Mus musculus: one gene and its partners. The protein of the gene in region 4 interacts with the protein of the main gene of each other region in a pairwise test. Links are inferred from orthologs where the notes say so. Each region holds a gene or a part of one and is shown on either strand. Other genes may lie near its edges. The genes, in order: Bcl2, Frk, Klc1 and Bnip2.

Evidence for each region.
Region 1: the proteins of Bnip2 (region 4) and Bcl2 interact in a two-hybrid assay, tested with the Homo sapiens proteins (3 studies listed by BioGRID and IntAct). The link is inferred for Mus musculus from reciprocal best matches to the Homo sapiens genes BNIP2 and BCL2.
Region 2: the proteins of Bnip2 (region 4) and Frk interact in binary tests that used the Homo sapiens proteins (3 or more experiments, as listed by UniProt). The two-hybrid records come from large-scale screens. The link is inferred for Mus musculus from reciprocal best matches to the Homo sapiens genes BNIP2 and FRK.
Region 3: the proteins of Bnip2 (region 4) and Klc1 interact in binary tests that used the Homo sapiens proteins (3 or more experiments, as listed by UniProt). The two-hybrid records come from large-scale screens. The link is inferred for Mus musculus from reciprocal best matches to the Homo sapiens genes BNIP2 and KLC1.

Annotation. Positions count from the first base shown.
Region 1 is NC_000067.6:106,710,670-106,716,179, reverse strand, and holds the start of Bcl2 (apoptosis regulator Bcl-2), read left to right. Parts: upstream 1-1,889; 5' UTR 1,890-3,299; coding exon 3,300-3,875; coding exon of another isoform or gene 3,876-3,899; exon of another isoform or gene 3,900-4,015; intron 4,016-5,510. UniProt on the Homo sapiens protein: Suppresses apoptosis in a variety of cell systems including factor-dependent lymphohematopoietic and neural cells. Regulates cell death by controlling the mitochondrial membrane permeability. Appears to function in a feedback loop system with caspases.
Region 2 is NC_000076.6:34,604,963-34,609,350, forward strand, and holds part of Frk (tyrosine-protein kinase FRK), read left to right. Parts: intron 1-732; coding exon 733-914; intron 915-2,843; coding exon 2,844-3,009; intron 3,010-3,397; coding exon 3,398-3,609; 3' UTR 3,610-4,388. UniProt on the Homo sapiens protein: Non-receptor tyrosine-protein kinase that negatively regulates cell proliferation.
Region 3 is NC_000078.6:111,757,205-111,762,474, reverse strand, and holds the start of Klc1 (kinesin light chain 1), read right to left. Parts: upstream 3,627-5,270; 5' UTR 3,433-3,626; intron 1-3,432. UniProt on the Homo sapiens protein: Kinesin is a microtubule-associated force-producing protein that may play a role in organelle transport. The light chain may function in coupling of cargo to the heavy chain or in the modulation of its ATPase activity.
Region 4 is NC_000075.6:69,987,528-69,992,851, forward strand, and holds the start of Bnip2 (BCL2/adenovirus E1B 19 kDa protein-interacting protein 2), read left to right. Parts: upstream 1-1,938; 5' UTR 1,939-2,162; intron 2,163-5,324.

The DNA of each region.
Region 1 (5,510 bases), on a different chromosome or scaffold from region 4:
AATTTAATGTATGTGAGTACACTGTCACTGTCTTCAGACACACCAGAAGAGGGCATCAGATCCCATTACAGATGGCTGTGAGCCACTATGTGGTTGCTGACACTTGAACTCAGGACCTTCGGAAGAACAGTCGGTGTTCTTAACCGCTGAGCCATCTCACCAACCACGAGTTTTCATTAGTATTTTAATTTGTAATTAATATCCTGGAGACTGTTGGGAGTTGCCACTCTTCACCCAAGGGTAGCATATTGGTACTACTCACTACTTAGGAGTCAATATATGTCTCAGTAATCTCTCTGGCTGCTGAGAGCTGATAACATAGTTATCACATAGCACAGTTTTTCTTGGTGTTTTATGTATCTATCTCTCAGCTTGATTGTTTCTGTCTGGGTTCATACAAGTGACAGTGGCACTGTGTGTCTGTGGGTACATAGACACATTATCTGTATGGCTGCATCTTCTGAAGCCGTCTCAGGTTGCATGCTGGTCAGAGCTGAGGATATCCAAAACCGTACCTATGCCGTGTTAGGGTCATGGCCTTGAAAGGTGGCAGGTATCACTCCCTGAGGTCCAGCCCCAGCCCAGTGCTGGGAGCGTTAGGAGCAGAGGAAAAACTGTCCCTGAAACTCAAACTTCTGCTGTTCTCTTCTCCTCTCTTCACTGGCCCACTGCGAGTTAGGTCTGGCCTTGGTCACCAAGTTGGGTATGCCTGGATAGAGGCTAAAAGCGCCTGGGTGCTCATGTGGTATCTGCTTGGACACCTCCAAAGTAACTCCGCATACCACTTTGACTATTCTTTAACAAGCCAAGAGCATCAGCGACTGCCATCAGTCTGCCACTGTCTGACTAAGAAGAGATGAGGAAAGACCAGCCTCTGAGGCACATCCCTTGCTGGTTGTGGACATCACATCATGCTCTTCAGAGCAGAGGAGTACTCAGACCTGTTCTAAGTTACACAGCTTGTGGTGTCTGGACAAAAGGGCCTAGAAACAAGCATGCTAACGTTGTTATTCTAAGTATTTTCATTTGTAATTAATATCCTGGAGACTGTGTTGGGAGTTGCCTCTCTTCACCCAAGGGTAGCATATTGGTACTACTCACTACTTAGGAGTCAATATATGTCTCGGTAATCTCTCTGGCTGCTGAGAGCTGATAACATAGTGTTTGGGGGTTCACATGGTTAGCTGAGGGTCTGTTTGATTTTATACACTATATGTGGTTGTATACACTACACTGTTTAAAGGGTCCACATGATTGTAGATACACTGCACTACACACACACACACACACAGAGCGACTGTGTACACACTTTATGTGTGGTTAGAAAGGGTCCATTGGATTGTGCACATTCCATGCACGCGGTTAGAAAGGGTCCATGTGACCTGCACATGCTACATAGAAAAAGTCCATGCGGTCGTGCACACTGTACACGTTGAAAAAGATCCATGCAATTGTGCCCATCCTGTTAGAAAAGATCCAGGTGCCTCGCCACAGCCTGGCCCTGGCTATAGGCACGTCCAGCCAGCAGCCAGCCCCGCAGGCCCGAGGAGGCCCCTCACACGCCCACTGAGCCACTGCCGCCCGGGAGGCCCGCGCCACCCACGGTCCGGGGCCCAGCGTAGCCCGCGGGTGGCCGCCACCCAGGCCAGCGGCCGCGGCCGGGCGCGCGCTCCCCGGGGCGGCCGCGGCGCCTTTAACCCGGGCGGCTGGCGGGCGGCGGGAGGAGGCGGCGGGCGGGCGCTCAGAGGAGGGCTTTCTTTCTTCTTTTTTTTGAATGAACGGTGACGTACGTACAGGAAACCAGGCGCTCCGGCGGAGAATGAAGTAAGAGGCCGGGCCCCCCGCCCCGCGCCCGCCCCCTTCCTCCCCGGCCCGTCCTCCCGCCCCGCGTCCGGGTCCCCGCCGAGCCGCCGCCGCCAACACCGAGGTGCCCAGGCCCTCCCCAGCCGCAGCCGTCACCGTGGAACGGGCTGCGCGGCGCAAGCACGAGGAGGCGGCCGCCAGCGCCGCCCGCAGCGGAGGAGGAGAAAGGGTGCGCAGCCCGGAGGCGGGGTGCGCCGGTGGGGTGCAGCGGAAGAGGGGACCAGGGGGGGACTTCGTAGCAGTCATCCTTTTTAGGAAAAAGAGGGGGGGCAAACCCTCCCCCACCACCTCCTTCTCCCGCAGCGCACCACACACAGTGCGCGGGCTGCTCCTTGGGCACCCGCGGCCCCAGCGCGTCCGTGCCTGCATTTAGCAAGCTGCTTTTTTTCCCGTTTCGGAAAGCGCGTTGGCCCTTCGGAGTTTAATCAGAAGAGGATTCCGGTCCCGGTCCCCCAGCTCCTCCATCGTCCCCTTGGCGTGTCTCTCTGCCCTGGAGGTCTGAAGCGGTCCGGTGGATACGGATCCATGCCTGCGCTCCAGCGTGTGTGTGCAAGTGTAAATTGCCGAGAAGAAGGGAGAATCACAGGACTTCTGCAAATGCTGGACTGAAAAATTGTAATTCATCTGCCGCCGCCGCCGCTGCCTTTTTGCCCCGCTGCGGTGCTCTTGAGATCTCTGGTTGGGATTCCTACGGATTGACATTCTCAGTGAAGCCGGAGTGTGAGGACCCAATCTGGAAACCCTCCTGATTTTTCCTCCACCTAGCCCCCAGACCCCAACTCCCGATTCATTGCAAGTTGTAAAGAAGCTTATACAAGGAGACTTCTGAAGATCGATGGTGTGGTTGCCTTATGTATTTGTTTGGGTTTTACCAAAAAAGGGTAAACTTGACAGAAGATCATGCCGTCCTTAGAAAATACAGTAAGTTCTTTGCACAGGAATTTTGTTTAATATAACTTTCCATGGACGCGTTTGAAATATTTTTTTACTTCAAGTGCATTCAAGCAAATTTCATTTCCAGACAGTTTAATGCATTTTTAAACGTGTAACTTGTAGCGGATATACCTTTCTTACCCTAAATATATAAAGGAAAACACACCTGATTTTAACTTCCTAGGTCGTCCCGCCTCTTCACCTTTCAGCATTGCGGAGGAAGTAGACTGATATTAACAAAGCTTAATAAATAATGTACCTCATGAAATAAAAAGCAGAAAGGAATTTGAATAAAAATTTCCTGCATCTCATGCCAACGGGGAAACACCAGAATCAAGTGTTCGGTGTAACTAAAGACACCCCTTCATCCAAGAATGCAAAGCACATCCAATAAAAGAGCTGGATTATAACTATTCTTTTTTTTTTTTTTTTCTTTCGGGGCCGTGGGGCGGGAGTCGGGACTTGAAGTGCCATTGGTACCTGCAGCTTCTTTTCGGGGAAGGATGGCGCAAGCCGGGAGAACAGGGTATGATAACCGGGAGATCGTGATGAAGTACATACATTATAAGCTGTCACAGAGGGGCTACGAGTGGGATGCTGGAGATGCGGACGCGGCGCCCCTGGGGGCTGCCCCCACCCCTGGCATCTTCTCCTTCCAGCCTGAGAGCAACCCAATGCCCGCTGTGCACCGGGACATGGCTGCCAGGACGTCTCCTCTCAGGCCCCTCGTTGCCACCGCTGGGCCTGCGCTCAGCCCTGTGCCACCTGTGGTCCATCTGACCCTCCGCCGGGCTGGGGATGACTTCTCTCGTCGCTACCGTCGTGACTTCGCAGAGATGTCCAGTCAGCTGCACCTGACGCCCTTCACCGCGAGGGGACGCTTTGCCACGGTGGTGGAGGAACTCTTCAGGGATGGGGTGAACTGGGGGAGGATTGTGGCCTTCTTTGAGTTCGGTGGGGTCATGTGTGTGGAGAGCGTCAACAGGGAGATGTCACCCCTGGTGGACAACATCGCCCTGTGGATGACTGAGTACCTGAACCGGCATCTGCACACCTGGATCCAGGATAACGGAGGCTGGGTAGGTGCATGTCTGGTTGAATGAGTCTGGGCTTTGATCTCAAGGCCAAGATGCGCAGGTTGGGGTGTGAGTGGATTCTGGGTCAAAATGGGCCATTGAGCAGATGAAATAAAGTCGAGTTTGTAGCTTTGCTCCCCTGACCTCTCACTCTCTTCCTCTGGGTACATCACACCCTGCCAACACTGTGTTAACTCCTGCCCGCTGGCTGTGAGGGAGCAAGAATCCAGCATTTTTGATCCAGTAGGATCTGGAGATAATAGCATCCCTCCAGTAACTCTCAGAGTTAGTTCGTCTGAGTAGCTTGCTGCAGATGTTCTGGGTCCTGTGTAAGCACCAGACCTCCAACACTCCCTCTTGACCTATGCATCTTTAGCTCCTCTGGTGGACTAACAAACTTTAAAAGGTCCATCTAGACATGCAGGCTCCACCAGAGGACGCAGGCAAACCTTTTCTAACTCACTTGGGAACATTTTCCCAAAGAAAAACAACACGGCTCCTTTTCCTGGAAATCATAGCTAAGCTTGTAAAAAAAAAAAAAAAAAAAAAAAAAAAAAGGTAAGCTTAGGTAGGTATTCGTGGATGTTTGTGGAATCCAGTCTGTCTATGCCATAGTCCCCAGTGGGCATGGTGGGTGTGCACCCTAAACATGTCCGTCAACGAATATGCGATGATTTAGAAGTCTGCATCCACTGTATGTCTTACTTTTCTCTACCTGCATTCTACATAGTTTTGCGATCTCTACTGCTGAATGGACTTGCATCTAGGGTGCCTATGAAAGGGGTAATGGAGTCCACTTAGCTGTGGCGTCTCCAGCCCTGACAAGTTAAAATGATTCGTATCCACAACACTGGTGAGCATCTATGGGGTGATAGTTTTCTGGGATCTTGGGAGGTTCAGCTTCCATATTTTACCGTGTGATTTAAGCTTTTCTCTGGTTCTTTAAGGGCAGAGAGCAGACTTAAGACTTGCTATAGCTAAAACAATTAAGTTATGTGAAAGCAATCATTATTGTCTGACATTTTTTAAAAGACCTTGTTTTAATGAAAAGGGTTTTCATTTTAGTCCTGCCTTGGTAGTATAAAGAGAACGAATATATATGTGAGTGTGTGTGTGTGTGTGTGTGTGTGTGTGTGTATATATATATATGTATATATATATATACACATATACATATACATATATATTATATCTTAACAGGAACAAAAAGTCTGTAACTGACTGAACGTGAACCAAATATCTAGAAGCACATTCTGTTTTTACTACAGTTTGCAAGATATGCTAATATTCATAGGCCCTGAAAAAGCCAAGAAAAATAGATGATTGATGTGAACATCTGATCTTATTTGACCAAAGTTGACAAAATATTGGTGGCACTGTTCGATGTTTAAAAGTAAAATTAACTCAAATATCAGAGTTTTTAAGTGCTTGAAATTCACATGCTCTTTGTGAATTGCTTGTTTGTTGACATCCCACAGGATCAGTCTGTTAGCAATTCTGGAAGACTTGGCGGAAGGAGAGAAGCTATTTTGTAAGATGTTTAGTTAAGTAGGTGGTTTGATATTTTAGCCACTGTATTCAGAGAGATGGGAACTTCGGGCTCTAGAAGAATCATTTTAAAGTCAAAATAAAACTGAT
Region 2 (4,388 bases), on a different chromosome or scaffold from region 4:
GCCTCAAACTCAGAAATCCACCTGCCTCTGCCTCCCAAGCGCTGGGATTAAAGGAGTGCAACACCATGTCCGGCTTCATGACCTCATTTTAAAGAAAAATCTGATGAAATAATGAAATTTTCTCTTTGGTTTAACCAGATTGTATGATATTTCTCTGTCTCTCTCTGTCTCTGTCTGTCTGTCTGTCTATCTGTCGTCTCTGTCTCTGTGTATGTGTCTGTGTGTTTATGTGTGTGTAAGTTAGAGGTCAATATTGAGTGCTTTCCTCCATAACTGCTTGTTTATGATCTGAGCCAGAGTAACTGGGTCTGGAGCTCACTGATTGATGAGACTGACTAGCCAAGAAGCTCAGGGGTCTTCCTGTCTCTGCCACCACAGCCCTGGGATTACAAGCATGTACCACCATGAGAAGATTTTTTTTTTTTTTTTAATAACAGTACTGAGGGTCTAAAATTCAGGTTTTCATTCACTAAGCCATCTCCCTATTCTGGAAATGCTTTAAAGAAAGGCTGACGCCCCTAACTGCTAGTTTCCATGAAGAGGTGAATCGATGGTGTGTGATTCTGAAAACACAGAGACTAGCACAGGCTTTAGGATAATGGGATGCTTTTGTTATATTCTTTGTAGATTAGTGTCATCGCATATATGATTGATTTATCAGATGTCTCAGAATTGACTTTGCTAGTTCAGTATTTTCCAAAATAATCTCCCATTTTCTCTCCTTTTTTTCAGATGATGGTGGGTCAAAAATCCATTTGATTCAACAGGTAGACATGGCGGCACAGGTGGCTTCTGGAATGGCCTATCTTGAGTCGCAGAACTATATTCACAGAGATCTGGCTGCAAGAAATGTCCTTGTTGGTGAACATAATATCTACAAAGTAGCAGATTTTGGACTTGCAAGAGTTTTTAAGGTAGATTTAGTTTTGTTTTAATCAGTTCTTATAGTAGGTTAAACAGCAAAAAAGTTAATATAGCGATAAGTTCAAAATTAATTTTTAAAACTATTTTGCTGCTAGGTGTGGTACTAAAGACTTAGGATCCCAACACACAAGAGGGTGAGACAAGAGGATTTCAGGTTTGAGATCAGCTTGAACCTCAATGAGATCCTTGTCTCCAAATAATAATTGCAACAAGAGTAACAAAGCCACACACAAACAAGAAACAAATAAAACTTTCATGTTGTCTATCTATGGTCCATTGATAAAGACAAGTTGTATAAGATCATATAGACAGAGTGCTTTTCTATTTCTATGGAGAGGGGCAACCAAGGGAAAAATGGTGATCATGCAGATAAATAAATATGTGATTAAAATTGTAGTTGAGTTTGTGGCGTACTTGTCAGATGCTACCAGCACCACCCATCTGCTTTTTCACATTCCTTCTCCAGAAAGCAATAGACTGTATCTAACTTTGCTCACTTGACAATAGGCTAAGGCCATACTACAGTGATTCTCCAACAATCATCAGCTTTCTGTGTGCTTGTGTGATTGTGTGGACATGGCAGTGTTTTATATATGCATGTGCGTGTGTCCTTTTGTCTGTGTGAGTACATGTATAGGCCAGAAGTTGATATTGAAATGTCTTCTTCAATCTTTTCTACACCTTGATAAAATGGTTTTAATAATTCTTTGAGGATTTCATACAATGCATATTGATCATATTCAATCCCTCCCCCTAACTTCTCTCAGACATAGCTCCCACCTCTCTACCCACACAACTCCCTCTTCCCCCTCAACTGCACTTGTTAGAGGACAAATTTCTCACGGAACCTGTAGTCTTCATTTTGGCTAGATTGGCTGGTCAGCATGTCTCTAGGATCCACCTGTATCTTCATCCTCAGCCCTGTGTTGCACACGTGTACTGTATCACCTGGTTTTTACCTGGATGCTGGTGACCTGAACTCACGTGCTCATACTGCTTAGAAAGCACGGTGTCCACTGAGCCATCTCTCCAAAAATAAACCACTGGCTTTTCATTTACCTATACTCACCCTGTTTTGTAACATCAATCCAAAGAGACTAATAATTAGACCTCAGATGAGGTGTTTAAATCTGAACTTAAAGTGAGATTTCCATACCATTCACTAAAAGTATGAATGTAGAGCAAAACAGACACAGACTCTCTTTCCATATCACCTTTCCTATTTTTTTAGAAATTAATTAAAATTAAAAAGTCACTATGTTGATAAACTAATTTAAATTATTGAGATAGCACTTTTTTGGTATTATCAAGTGCTTTAGATGATAATCAATGCCAGCTTTTCTAAGAAAGGTTTTATTTATTTTTATTTCATGTATATGTGTTTTTTCCCTGCATTTATGTCTGAGCATTTATGTCACTGCAAAAGCCAGAAGGTACCAAATACTCTGGAGCTGAAGTTATAGATGGTTGTGTGCTACCATTTGGGTGTTGGGAACCAAACCTGTGTTCTTGTCAAGAGCAGTAAATCATCTTAATTACTGAACTGTCTCTCTAGCCTTAATATCAGTCCATAGCTCTTCATGACTAAGAGCAAATAAAACCAGACATCCTTTGTTTCTCCTCCTCTTTCATCTTCTTCTTCAGTTTGTAGAGGACTTACACAAGTACAAATGATCACAGATTCTCCTTCCTGCAATGGCATGATGCTCCTCAGGCTCTCAAGACACATCGTGCTAATGATCTTTCACTGATTTTTCTAGTCTTATATGTTTGGTTCAGAATATCTTATATTATAATGCAAATCAACCTAAGCCCATATTGAATATTTGCTTCTACATTTTCGCGTGACACAGGTTACAAATAAACAAGGGCAGCACAACAAATTACTAACTTGGCTTGAATCCTTGATGCATTAACAGGTAGATAATGAAGACATCTATGAATCTAAACACGAAATAAAGCTGCCAGTGAAGTGGACTGCACCCGAAGCCATTCGTACTAATAAATTCAGCATTAAGTCTGATGTGTGGTCTTTTGGAATCCTGCTCTATGAAATCATTACTTATGGCAAAATGCCTTACAGTGGTGAGTGATTAATTCAGAAGTGGGCCTTTCTGTTGCAGGTCACTTGCTTAGATGTGACTTTAACTGCTTTGCATAGATTTAGAGGGCAGAGTTATGAGGCTGACCATTCCATGTTCCTGGAGGAGCCTGATAGATAAAATTTGATGATGATAATTTGCATTAATGAAGTGGTTTATTACTTTCTTCTCCTTTACTCTTGAATTGCAGTCTTATAGACAAGACTTGCTGCTGGTTTTAGTTTAACGTTACAGCCTGGGAAATGGATGGTGGGTCTCATGATGGACTTCATCAAGGGAAAAAAATCCTTTATAACCCAGAGTTCAGTGTCAACTATAATTTGAAGACTCTGATTGTCCACTTTTTTTTTGTTCTATTCTGTATGTCTTAGGTATGACAGGTGCTCAAGTAATTCAAATGTTGAGTCAAAACTACAGACTTCCACAGCCATCTAACTGCCCACAGCAATTCTACAGCATCATGCTAGAGTGCTGGAATGTTGAGCCTAAGCAACGGCCAACATTTGAGACCCTGCATTGGAAACTTGAAGACTACTTTGAAACAGACTGTTCCTATTCAGATACAAATAACTTCATAAACTAAACATCAAGGAAAAGAAGAAATATAATGAAGATATGAAAACGTGGGGCTCATCAGTCCAGAAATACTATCTATTCAACCAACTGTGAAATCAGCTTATTTTGACATATTCAAGTGGTAGGATGAACTCAGCCATGCATTCCATATCAAAAAGATAATCTGTGTATTTTATTGACTAGGAAACACTGCAGGACAGTATAAGATAATGTGTCATTTTTCCTCACTGCCTGGTAAAATCAATCACACTAAATGAAGTTATTTTTTTTCCTTTTGAGAACTCCTCACATTTCTATTTATTGTTTGAATGCCCATCAAGAGAATCAACAGATGACAGTGTTTACTCAGTTACTGTTGTGGCATTTTCCTGTTTACTAATTAGACTGGTTATTCATTATTCCTCAAATTGCTGAATACCATCAGGCTGTTATTATGAAGGAATTTGATTGCTCTGCTGCACAGCAGGACCTGTGCTTTGAGATATTTTTTTTCCTCTCTTTTAAAATATCCTGTAACTACAATAATGGTAAAGCCATGTTAAATGACTTGATTGTACTTGAAGTAATTGCACATATTTTTCCTATGCATAAGAAAATGAAGCAGCTGTTGAGAAAAGGAATTAAAATCTTTCTCATTTTGTAGAAGGAAATGATGGAGTTTGCTCTATACCTCAGTATGTGTCATTGGAGAATCATCTGCATTAGTTTTAATCTCTTAATGTCAGGAATCAGGTTGCAAAGCCGATGAATTGTTATGTATGGGAATATAGGGGAACTACCACATTG
Region 3 (5,270 bases), on a different chromosome or scaffold from region 4:
TCAGCTCAGTGCACCAGGCTGCGCTGTAGTGGAGTCAGAGCAGCCAGGGAGACAAGCAGGACACTACAGAGAACTTCAGTAGCTGACTCATGGTCCACTGGCATGGTGTGCACAGGCTCACCCTGACACAATGCTGAGCCCCCCAACCCTCGCCGCCTGCCTCTCCCAGACTACTGCATTGTAGTTCCCACTGACCACCAACTCAGCCACTTCTGCACCTCCAGCCACTGTCCTAACACTCACAAGACTAAGGTGGATACTTCCTAACCAGCTTGCCCGTGCACAGCACCACCCGCACCACTGCCCTTACCTTCCTGCTCTAACCACCAAACCGGCTCTTCTTCCCTGCCTCCCGCCTTCTCCTTCCAACTGCAGAGCAGGAGCACCTCCTTAGCTCTGCCTACCACCACAGGAGCATTTCCCATCCTCCCCTCCCCACCTCACTAGGACAGGCCTCCCATCAGCACCACACATAGCCAATCTGCACTTGCCTCTGAACTGTGCAACAAGAGCCTCCTCACCACTCACACGGGGTCTGAGTTCTTTTGGGAACTACCCATACCAGGATCCCTAATAGTACAGTGTTGCACAGTGGATTCTCAGCACTTAACACTCCCTCGAGCCCACACTTCCACAGTCCTAATCCAACATCTTTATTCTTTTTGTTTCTTACTTCGTTTGAGGGAGATTCTGTGTAGCACAAGCTGGCCTCCCAATCCTGCCCTACCCTCCAGATCGCCTGTGCCACCATGCCCAGCCTTCAACATTTTCACTCTGTGCTCTAAAACTTGACACTATCTTGCTCAGCATGCAAGTCACTTTCTTGTTGCATAATCTGCTTTCTGACAGTCACTCAATTAAGAACTTCTGGCTTCAAAAAAGTCACTTCAGGTTTTCTTTCTAGTTCTTTTAAGTCAACCATTTCTAGGGATTGTTTATGGATCTTTAGAGATTTTCACTTTTCCCAACCTGAAAAAAATGCTTAAAAATGTTTTCTTTTGGTTGTTAAGAGTTAGTGTTTACATGTACACCTGCATGGTGTTCATGGGCACCACAGAGGTCAGAAGAGGGTCTCAGATTACCTGGAATTGTAGTTAGGGACAATTATGAGCTGTTTCTGGGTGCTAAGAATCAAACCCAGGTCCCTCTAAAAGGACAATAATTACTCTTAACAACTAAGCCATCCCTCCAGTCCCAAGAATGGATTCATCTTTTTTTAAAAGAATTATTTACTTATTTTATGTATATGAGTACACTGTGGCTGTCTTCAGACAAACCAGAAGAGGGCATCGAACCCTATTACAGATGGTTGTGAGCCACCATGTGGTTGCTAGGATTTGAACTCATGACCTCTGGAAGAACTGTCAGTGCTCTTAACCGCTGAGCCATCCCTCCAGCCCGGATTAATCTTTCTTAATGTAAACATTTAGGTTGTGGGTAATGTTTGGTTTGTTTGTTCTTGCACTGAGGAAGCAGGATCTTTTGAATGTAGGCTACTACCCTAGCACTGAGTGCCCTCTTCAGCCTGGAGACTTTGCTGTAGAATAGCTAAGCTGTGTAGACCTCACCTCTTCAATCTCTGCACTTGGAAAAAAATCCCTGTCCAGATTCCATGCAAGTCTATGCTTTTCTTGCTTTGGATTTTTGTTTTGAGATTTTGCTATGCAGTTGTGGCTCCCAAGTGTGTCCGGGTTATAGGCATATACTGTCACTTCCTGCTATGTGTTCACCACACACGCTCTCACAATGCTGGTGCTACAGAGCGGTCACCACCAGGTCCCACCCCTCTTGGTTCCACCAGAGCATCAGGCTGGACTTGCAACATGCTGCATTCTTTAATGATCTAGAAGGGGCCCGCCCTCCCACATACCGCACACTGTGGAATTTTAAATAGAATCATTGCATTCTTACAAATACTTACTGCAAAGAACAGTAAGTCAAATTTCCTACCACAACTGAGGCCTATAGGCCTCCATGTAGAAGATCCCTAACTATGGCATGCTTAGGAGACTCAAGGTTGATCGAGTTTCCTAATGGGGTTTCACTGTCCTATTACAAAGCATTCCAGGCTAATTCTGACCTAAGGCTTTGTCATACCGTATAAAGAGCCTTGGAATTTAAGTAATGCAAAGAATCAAAAACATAGCAGTTTAAATGGTATATAAATTTCTTGTTCTCATGCTTTTTAAAGACATCATTTTTGCAAGTACACCAGATCACCAATAACATAACAGTAGCAGGTAGTAGCAATTCCAACACAACACAGCTGGAAACGGCCTGCAAACTTCATTATAATGCCATCCACTCGGTCACATATTAATATTACTTTATTAACACCTTAATTTTTTTTTACGGGAAGGGGGCTCCACATGTAACAAGGAAAAGCACTCCAGGCCGGGCACATTCAGGTCACAGGGAGATTCCACACCCGGCCACTGAAAGAAAGAGACTGGCTGGCCACTGGCCATGGACCACAGCATGACAGCACGCCACCCAGGGCGGTGCCGGGGAGAGGTGGGGGCTAGAAGGGCGGGGAGGCCTGAGACAAAGCCAGTCGGCTGACCCCCAACACACACACTACCACCACCACCACCTCTTCAGGACCTCAGCAGACAGGCTTTGGGTCCCTTAAGCCCACAGCTGCCATTGGAAGGCCGCCCCCGCCCCGAGGCCCGAGTCAGGGCGGGGCCCTGAACACAGATGGGACAGAAGCCTGAGGGACACAGGAGGGGAGTGGAAGAGAAGGGGCAGGAACAGAAGTCTAGAGTGCAGGCAGAGAGAGCTGAGCCCCAAACCTAGAGGGTCACGGACGAAGAAGGGACAAGGACCTCAACTCAGAGAGGGACAGGCAGAGATAGGACAGGACCCGAACCAGAACAGGAAGGGAAGGGAGAAGAGCCTCAGCCTGGATGTACAGGCAGAGAGATGACGACAAAGACCCCAGCCAGGAGGGGCGCAGCCAGTGACAGGGAAGGGACCCAAAGCAGGGGCGCAGGTAGACAGGGACAAGGACCGCAGATTGGAGGAGCGCAGAGAGGTGACAAGAGACCCGAGCCTAGAAAGGCGCAGGCGGAGAAAGGACAGAAACCCCTGCTGGATGTGCACAGGCTGAGAGAGGACAAGGACCGCAGACTACTGGCGCGCAGGCAGAGGTGACAAGAGACCGGAGCACGGAGGGGCGCGGACGGAGCGGAGAGGAGAGGGAACCCCAGGGTGCAGACAGGGATGGAAAGGCCAGGGAGGGGACTGGGTTCGGGCGGAGGAGCAAAATCGCAGCCTGGAAGGGCCGGGTGCAGATGCGGCGGTGGACGGAAAGGTCCAGAAGCCTCAGCCCGGAGGATGCAGGCGGGAAGGGGTCGCGGCCGCGTCTGGAGCACTGCGCACCAGCCGCGCGGAGCCCGGGGCGGGGCGGGGACCAGGCCGCGCACTCACCGTCCGATCGGGAGAGTCGCGCTCGTCGCGCTGTCACAGGCCGAGGCCGCGCAGAGCCCAGCCGCCTCAGCAGCAAGCGGCGCCTCCGCAGCCGCCCCGCAGCATCCTCACCCTGACCCGCGCTCCGCAGCCTCGCGCCACCCTCCGCCGCCGAAAATGGCGTCGCCGGCGCCGCGCCCGCCCCACAATGCTGTGCGCCGTGACGTCACCCGCCCTCGCGCCGCCGGGCGGGGCTCAGGGGAAACTGAGGCTGGGGTCCGCAGCCCGGAGCTCTCCAGGAGCCTCTCTAATCTGTGTGTGGTGGCCTCAGACCGGGAGGCTTCCCTCGCCGCGCCTCCACCCGTGGAGGACGGGAAGATCGCCAGGCGGCCAGGACCCACCCTCTGCGGCTCGCTCCTGGCCGCAGCTCTCGCTCGACCTCCAGCCTGGCCCAAAGGGCAGGCTTGCCAGCTCAGGTTGCTCCTGAGCCTCGCACAGCCGCCTGGCACCCCAACTGCAGGCCTGACTCAGCAGCGGGTTGGAGGGGACGCTGAGTCAGTGGCAAGGCCGAGCTTGCCTGCCACCGGCTTGGGAACCCTCCAGGTGCCTTTAGACGTTTCCAGAATGGCGCGGTTGTATTACTAACGGGGAGGGGTTGCGAATGCCCACAGCCTCCCCACCTTGGGAAACGCTTCCCTCTTCTGATGGTATTGCCCAGAACCTGCTGCGGTCCTCCACCCTGCACTTATACCTACCAACATCAGGGAGGCAGGTGCTTTTGATCTTAACAAGCAGATCCAGTTACTTTGACCTCCTAGAAAATTCAAAGGCTGGCCAATAAAGGGGCAGCTCCCGTGGGGAGCGCAGCAGCCCATGTTGGCCTAAGGAGAGGCTGTGGGTTCAGTCTTTACTGCAGGCTTCACTTGCCCCAGCACACAAACTGCTGCTTGGATGTTGGGTGTCGCCGGCTCTTCAGCCACTGCCATACATCTGAACAAAGCATATGACGGCCCCTGCCCAGGTGGTGTTGGAAAGAAAAGAGTAGGCTAAGCGGGAGCCCATTTCTTTCCCATGGGTCAATCACTGCCCCTCCGAGTCCTGTATATGCACACACTTCTTCAGCAAGCAAAGGGCTTTTTTGTTTCATCTGTCCCTGCCATTGCTTTGTTCAAGCTTTATCATCTCGTTCTTTTGCCCCTTCAACTGATATCCACTAAGTTCCCAAGGTTCTCACAGGAAGACCCAGGTACATAAAGTGGCAGATGGTGTCTGCTGGCCAGCTCCCATTCCAATGAGAAAAAACAAGCTCAAACAGAATCTGACTTGTTGAAAACAGTAAAATTGCAGGCAGAGTGGTGAGGGAGTGGCACATGACCCAAACTCCAAGGTCAGAAAATTGTGCTGACACACACAGGAAAGAACAGGACCACGGAACCAGCGTAGAACACTCCATTAAATCTTGAGACAGGAGCACCCCTGCTGTGTTGGGGAGGAGGAAAGACCAAGCTAATCAACCCTGCTGCAGACATACATCACTCTCAGCATGAGCATAAAACTCCTTAGCTTGGTCTACAAAGGCCACAGGACCTAGTTGTACTAAGGTCACTTTACCCTGTCCCTAGCTGCCCTCACCTGTCCTTTAGTTTTCTCTGCCACACCCAGTTCAACATCCCCCTGCCTAGACTGTTGTGTGACTTCCCATGGAGAAATAAAGAGACATCTATCCTTTCAGGGGCTAACGGTTAAGAATGCTTGCTGATCTTTCAGGGGACTGGAGTTCTGTTTCCAGCAGGCACATTGGGTGAATGCCCACAGTAGCCTCTAACTCCAGCTCCACTGTACCTGTGGACCTCTTCTGG
Region 4 (5,324 bases):
TAATCATTTGATTAAACTACATCCACTAATTTTTAAAAAGACATGCAATGAATAAAAATAAATTCAAATCTGAAAGTGATCATTCATAATGATAGTCTTTTTGGTTTATCCACAGTTTCTAATGTTTTAACAGTAAAGATAAATAGTTCATGAAAGGAAAATGTTGCAGAGTATCTTACTCAGAACCAAACATTGAATCAAGTCATGTTCTGTTACTAAAATGAGGAAACTCAAGACCACAAAAACCTCACTCTCTGGCATGATTGCAAACGATTTTCTGCCACCGTGTGGGGAACTCTGCACACTGCAGAACTAAAATACAAATTGGAACTCCGGAAAAATCTGTAACTGGAGAGAAAATGCTTCCTGTGGCCAAGTGGTTTAACTAAAACTTTGTGGATCTGTTTGTCATGTTTCCCCCTCCAGCAATTAAGAAAATTGCTAGGGGAAATAATACTAACACAGATGATAGCAACATTCCAAGCGCCCATCTCAGATACATGTACTGTTCTGTCTCAAAAGCCCCATGAGGCGGGCATTATTTTTTTCTCCATTTTATAGGTAAGTCACAGAGCTCTTAACTCTCTGCCAACAGAGAACAAATCTAAACTGTATCTCTAAAGAACTGTGTTTTGGATCCATTTAAAATAGTTTTGACTTCACCATTCCTTTTAGGAGTAATAGGCTTGCCCAAATAGTTACCTACTAGCTCTCTGGACAGGTTGAGCACGTTCAACTTCTAAGAGGGATGACCTTGCCCTCCAAAATAACAGCCCCTTGAAGCTGCTTAAAAGGACAGCTCATAGACGGAAGCCATTCAAAAAAATTGTTAATGGCCCACACAGAAAAGTACAGAAGTTGAGATCTTTTGAGAATTTTTTATTGGTTATTTTATTTATTGACATTTCAAATGTTATCCCCTTCCCAGTTTCCTCTCCACAAACCTCTTATCCCCTCCTCCCCCTTTTTGAGGATTTTTTTTTTTTACGACAGCCAATTTTAGGACTGTTGACTGTGATAATAAAATATTTTACATTTACTGACTTCACTTTTATTTTCATTTTTTCTACGTCATCAAGATAGGACCCACAAATAACTGGGAAAAGCATGTTTTAAAGCAATAGTTCTAAACTTTCCTAAAGCTGGGACCCTTTAGTACAGTTCCTCATGTTGTGGAGACCCCCAACCACAAAATTACTCCGTTGCAACTTCAGAACAGTAATATTGCTACAGTCGTGAATCGTAATGAAATTTCCTATGATCTCGGGACCTTCGGAAGGTCCGGAGTTCAAATCCCAGCAACCACATGGTGGGAACGGAAAGTTCAGATAATAGAGTGCCTACCTAGCAGCAGTCAGGAAGCCCTAAGTTGTCTCTATCTCTACCACAATGTGGTAACAATCATGTAGATAATCTCAGCTCTCTGGAGACTGGGGCAGGAAAATTAGTTTTCAAGGTTATTTCAGATACACTGGAAGGAATTCAAGGCCAACTCGGAACACAGGAGAGGAGTCTGGGGAGGAGAGGGGTGGGGTACTTATTACTCTCTCAGAAGCATTACTGGAGAGAAAAACTATTCACGTCGGAAAATTCTATCAAAGTAGATTCTTCTAGGACCTGGCTATCGTACATAAGACATCGACTATTTTTCACCCCCTTTTCATTCACTCTGTAATATAGTTAATATAATGTCAAGTAAAGGAAAACAGAGAGAAACGAATAGCTCTTTCAAGACAGCGAGGTTAGGTCCCTACAGTAACGTTAAGTGCGTGAGCCTTAGAAAGCTGCGCCCTCCTCCTCCCTCGCCAGCAGCAAGCCAAAGCCTTAGCTGGCCCGGGACAGAAGGGCTCACGGCTGCGCATGCGCAGAGAGGAAGCCCGCCGAGGATTTTAGGAAAACGCCCCGCCCCCGCTTCCTCCCTCGGCCGCGCCCGGCGCCGGTCCGGAGGTGGTCACTTCCGCCGGGGCGTACGCACTGAATCCGGGTCAGCTGCAGCCGCCCGGACTGCAACTAAGATCGTCCGGGAAAAGCTGGGCCCCGTCTCCACAGCCGACCAAGGGCAGCGGGCTCTGCCCGGCGCCGCTTTCTGCGACCTGGCCGTCAGCCCCACGTCGCCGGCCTGGAGGGGCAAAGAGGACGAGGGGGCCGCGGCTTCCTCCGGGGTGAGCACGGCTTGGGTAGCGGGCCGGGCTACGGCACAGCCGGAGGGCTGCGGGAGGATCGGCCAGGCCAGGCGGGGGTGGCGGCCGTGGACTGGCGCGTTCGCGTTCCGGGTCCGAGCGCTGCCGGGCCCCGCCCTGCCTCGGACGCTGGTGCCAGGCTCTCGCCCCCTTCCTTTTTCCGTCTGTGGCCCGAAAGCCTGGAGCGGAACCTCCCGGTTCCTGGCTTCCCCTAGCCTCGTTTGTTCCGTGTTCCTAACCGGCGTCAGTCCAGAGCAGAACAAAGAAACTTGGGCGTGTAGTGCACCCCATAGCCTCGGGGGGATGGACGCAGACAGCATACACAGACAGCATCCTATAAGTCATCAGGGCTCTCTTGAACCTTCCTGAGTGTGATATCCTATTGTAGGGTGTGTACGTCAATGCCTGATCCTTGGCTGTTCTCAGACACTTAACCTCTTCATTTAAATACCGGCTAGGATGCTTTGGATTGCTGTATGCATGCGATGCCACTGGAGAATTCTTCCTAAGTCTGTTCACGTTCAAGCAGAAACTTATTTGGATCTATATTACGTTACTTCGAAACTTCCTTTGTCCTAGGAACTCTATGAGGACACAACTTTTGCAGTGTTTATCAAAGTATTTCTATAAAAGTGCCTTTCATCTGCAATTGCATCTTAGTATTGCTTTCTTTTGCGTCACTTTTAATTAGGATGTTTTCCCTTATACTTGAATTCCCATCTTCAATGAAATGCACGTTTTCTTATGATTTATTAGAATCCTTTAATTGTAGAGGGTTTTTTTTCTCAAAGGTTTTTTTTTTTTAATGTGTCTTGTCATGTGGTATAGGCGACTGCAGAGGGCATCGGAACCCCTGGAGCTGCTAGCATTATAGGCTGTTGTGGTGGGAACCGAAATAGGCTCCTGTGAAGAGCAGCAAGCATGCTTAACTACTGACCCACTCCTCTAGCCTTCACTTGTAGAAACTCTGTAATTCATGAGTGGGTGTTCCTTCAAAGTTAGAGTTGAAGTTATCTAGTTTAGTTACCCATACATGAAGTTACCAATGTTTGGTTGCCTCGCACATTATTTTTTTGGCTTGGTTCTTAATCAATCTCTATCTCTCAATGCCATTCTTAGGTCTTTTCTAACTTGCTGGACTAGGAAATGTGACATGTGCATAGCGTAGGGACTGAATTACCATAAACCAACATACTTACATCTTTAGGCATCGCAGGACCTTTCACCCTTAAGTATAACCACATTTGGTTTTACAGACAGGTTTGTTATAGATCTGGGGATCAGGACATAGGGTCTGTCTTTTGCCTCTTGTCTAAGCTAAATGGCTAATGACATTGCATTCGACCTCACTGTCTTAGTTTGGGGTTTACTGCTGTGAACAGACACCATGACCAAGGCAAGTCTTATAAAAAAACAACATTTTAATTGGGGCTGGCTTACAGGTCCAGAGGTTCAGTACATTATCATCAAGGTGGGAGCATGACAGTATCCAGGCAGACATGGCACAGGCAGAACTGAGAGTTCTACATCTTCATTCCAAAGGCTGCTAGTAGAAGACTTCCCAGGCAACTAGGGTGAGGGTCTTAAGACCACACCCACAGTGACACACCTATTCCAACAAGGCCACACCTCCAAATGGTGCCACTCCCTGGTCCAAGAATATACAAACCACGACACTCACACCTGTTGGGCACTGACGCTCTAACTACTCATTAGTTTTTAATGGGTAGAGAAGTAAAGGTGAAATACTCTTTGGGGCAGTGGTCCTGATTGTTCTCTCTGTAGCGATGAGAGAAGGGGACATCTGAGAACAAAAGGCTATGTTTCTAGACCAAGAGTGGCTTCGGCTGGCAGTATTCAAGGTCTTATGCTAAGATTACATCCTACGAAGCAAGCAAGCAAGCAAGCAATATCACAGATAGTCCTGACTTGGCATTATAACCAGCTTCTAACAAGCAGACTGTTTGAGATCAGGTGTTAGAGTTTGGTCTACTTAAAGGTGCCAACACATCTCTAATACCTTCTGCATACTGATAGTTTAATAAATGTATTCTAGGTGTTTAGCCTATGCTATGTTTTTAACAGTTCTGAGAGAAGTTAGCACCATTCTAGTTTGCTGGTTGTGTGTGTGCACATGTGTGAACGTTGCTGTGGAAGCATTTTGTTCTTGAAAGCCCTACATGATCATACTAAGGGAGATAGCTCAGTCTGTAAGGGCACTTGTCTAGAAAGCCTGAACCCCTGAGTTTGACTCCCAGAGCCCACATAAGCCAGCTGTAATCCCTGCAGTCCTATGGCAAGATGGGAGGAGGGGACAAGAGAAACTTCTTGAAGTTCCTGGCCAGCTAAACTGGGAGCATGAAGCAATCGAAGAAAGTAGAAGAGAGATCCTGCCTCGGAATAAAGTGGACAGAGAGAACCACGCCGGAAAATTGTAATTTGACTTCCACTCTCCTGCCAAAGCACACACCACTAACCTGCCCACCCTCTGTGTGCGCATGCGCATGTGTGCTTTAAGAAGATAGACTCTTACAGGGGTATAGTCATACCTTTGACAATGACAAGCAAGAATGAAGGCTTTGTCCAGGGGTTCCCGTGTGCTTAGTCTTCAGGGGCGTATAGCCTGCTCATAATACATAAAAGTAAATCAAGCAGAACCTCTTGTGCAAGTGCAGACTTTCTGCCTCTGTTTGCTTTCAGCGAGCACAGAAGTTACTTGCACCTATTCCAGCAGCAGTGTTTAAAGTACATGACAGTACAGTTACCATGGAAGCATGTCACAGCCGACATAGGTCAAAATACTTAATTCTGTTCACCTTCCTAAATTGCTCGTGGCTTCCCTTCTTTAGTGTGGTTGGATTCACACCTCCCCTCAGAAGTTGTGTAGGGAGGAATCCATCGTGTTTGGTTTGATTTTTTTTTTTTAACCTGACTAGGATCAGAGGCTGTTGATTGCATTATGACTGCCACATATAACTGCCATGAAGAGATGCTAACAAGATACCCAGCTATCAGATTATTTCTGTGGAAGTATGTTATTCTGTCAAGTAGTGTATTAAAGTACTGTGTCTGTATTCTAACATTTTAAAGTTCTAAAAGCAAAACTGGGAAGGCGGTGGACTTGGGAGTCAGAGGCATCCAGAT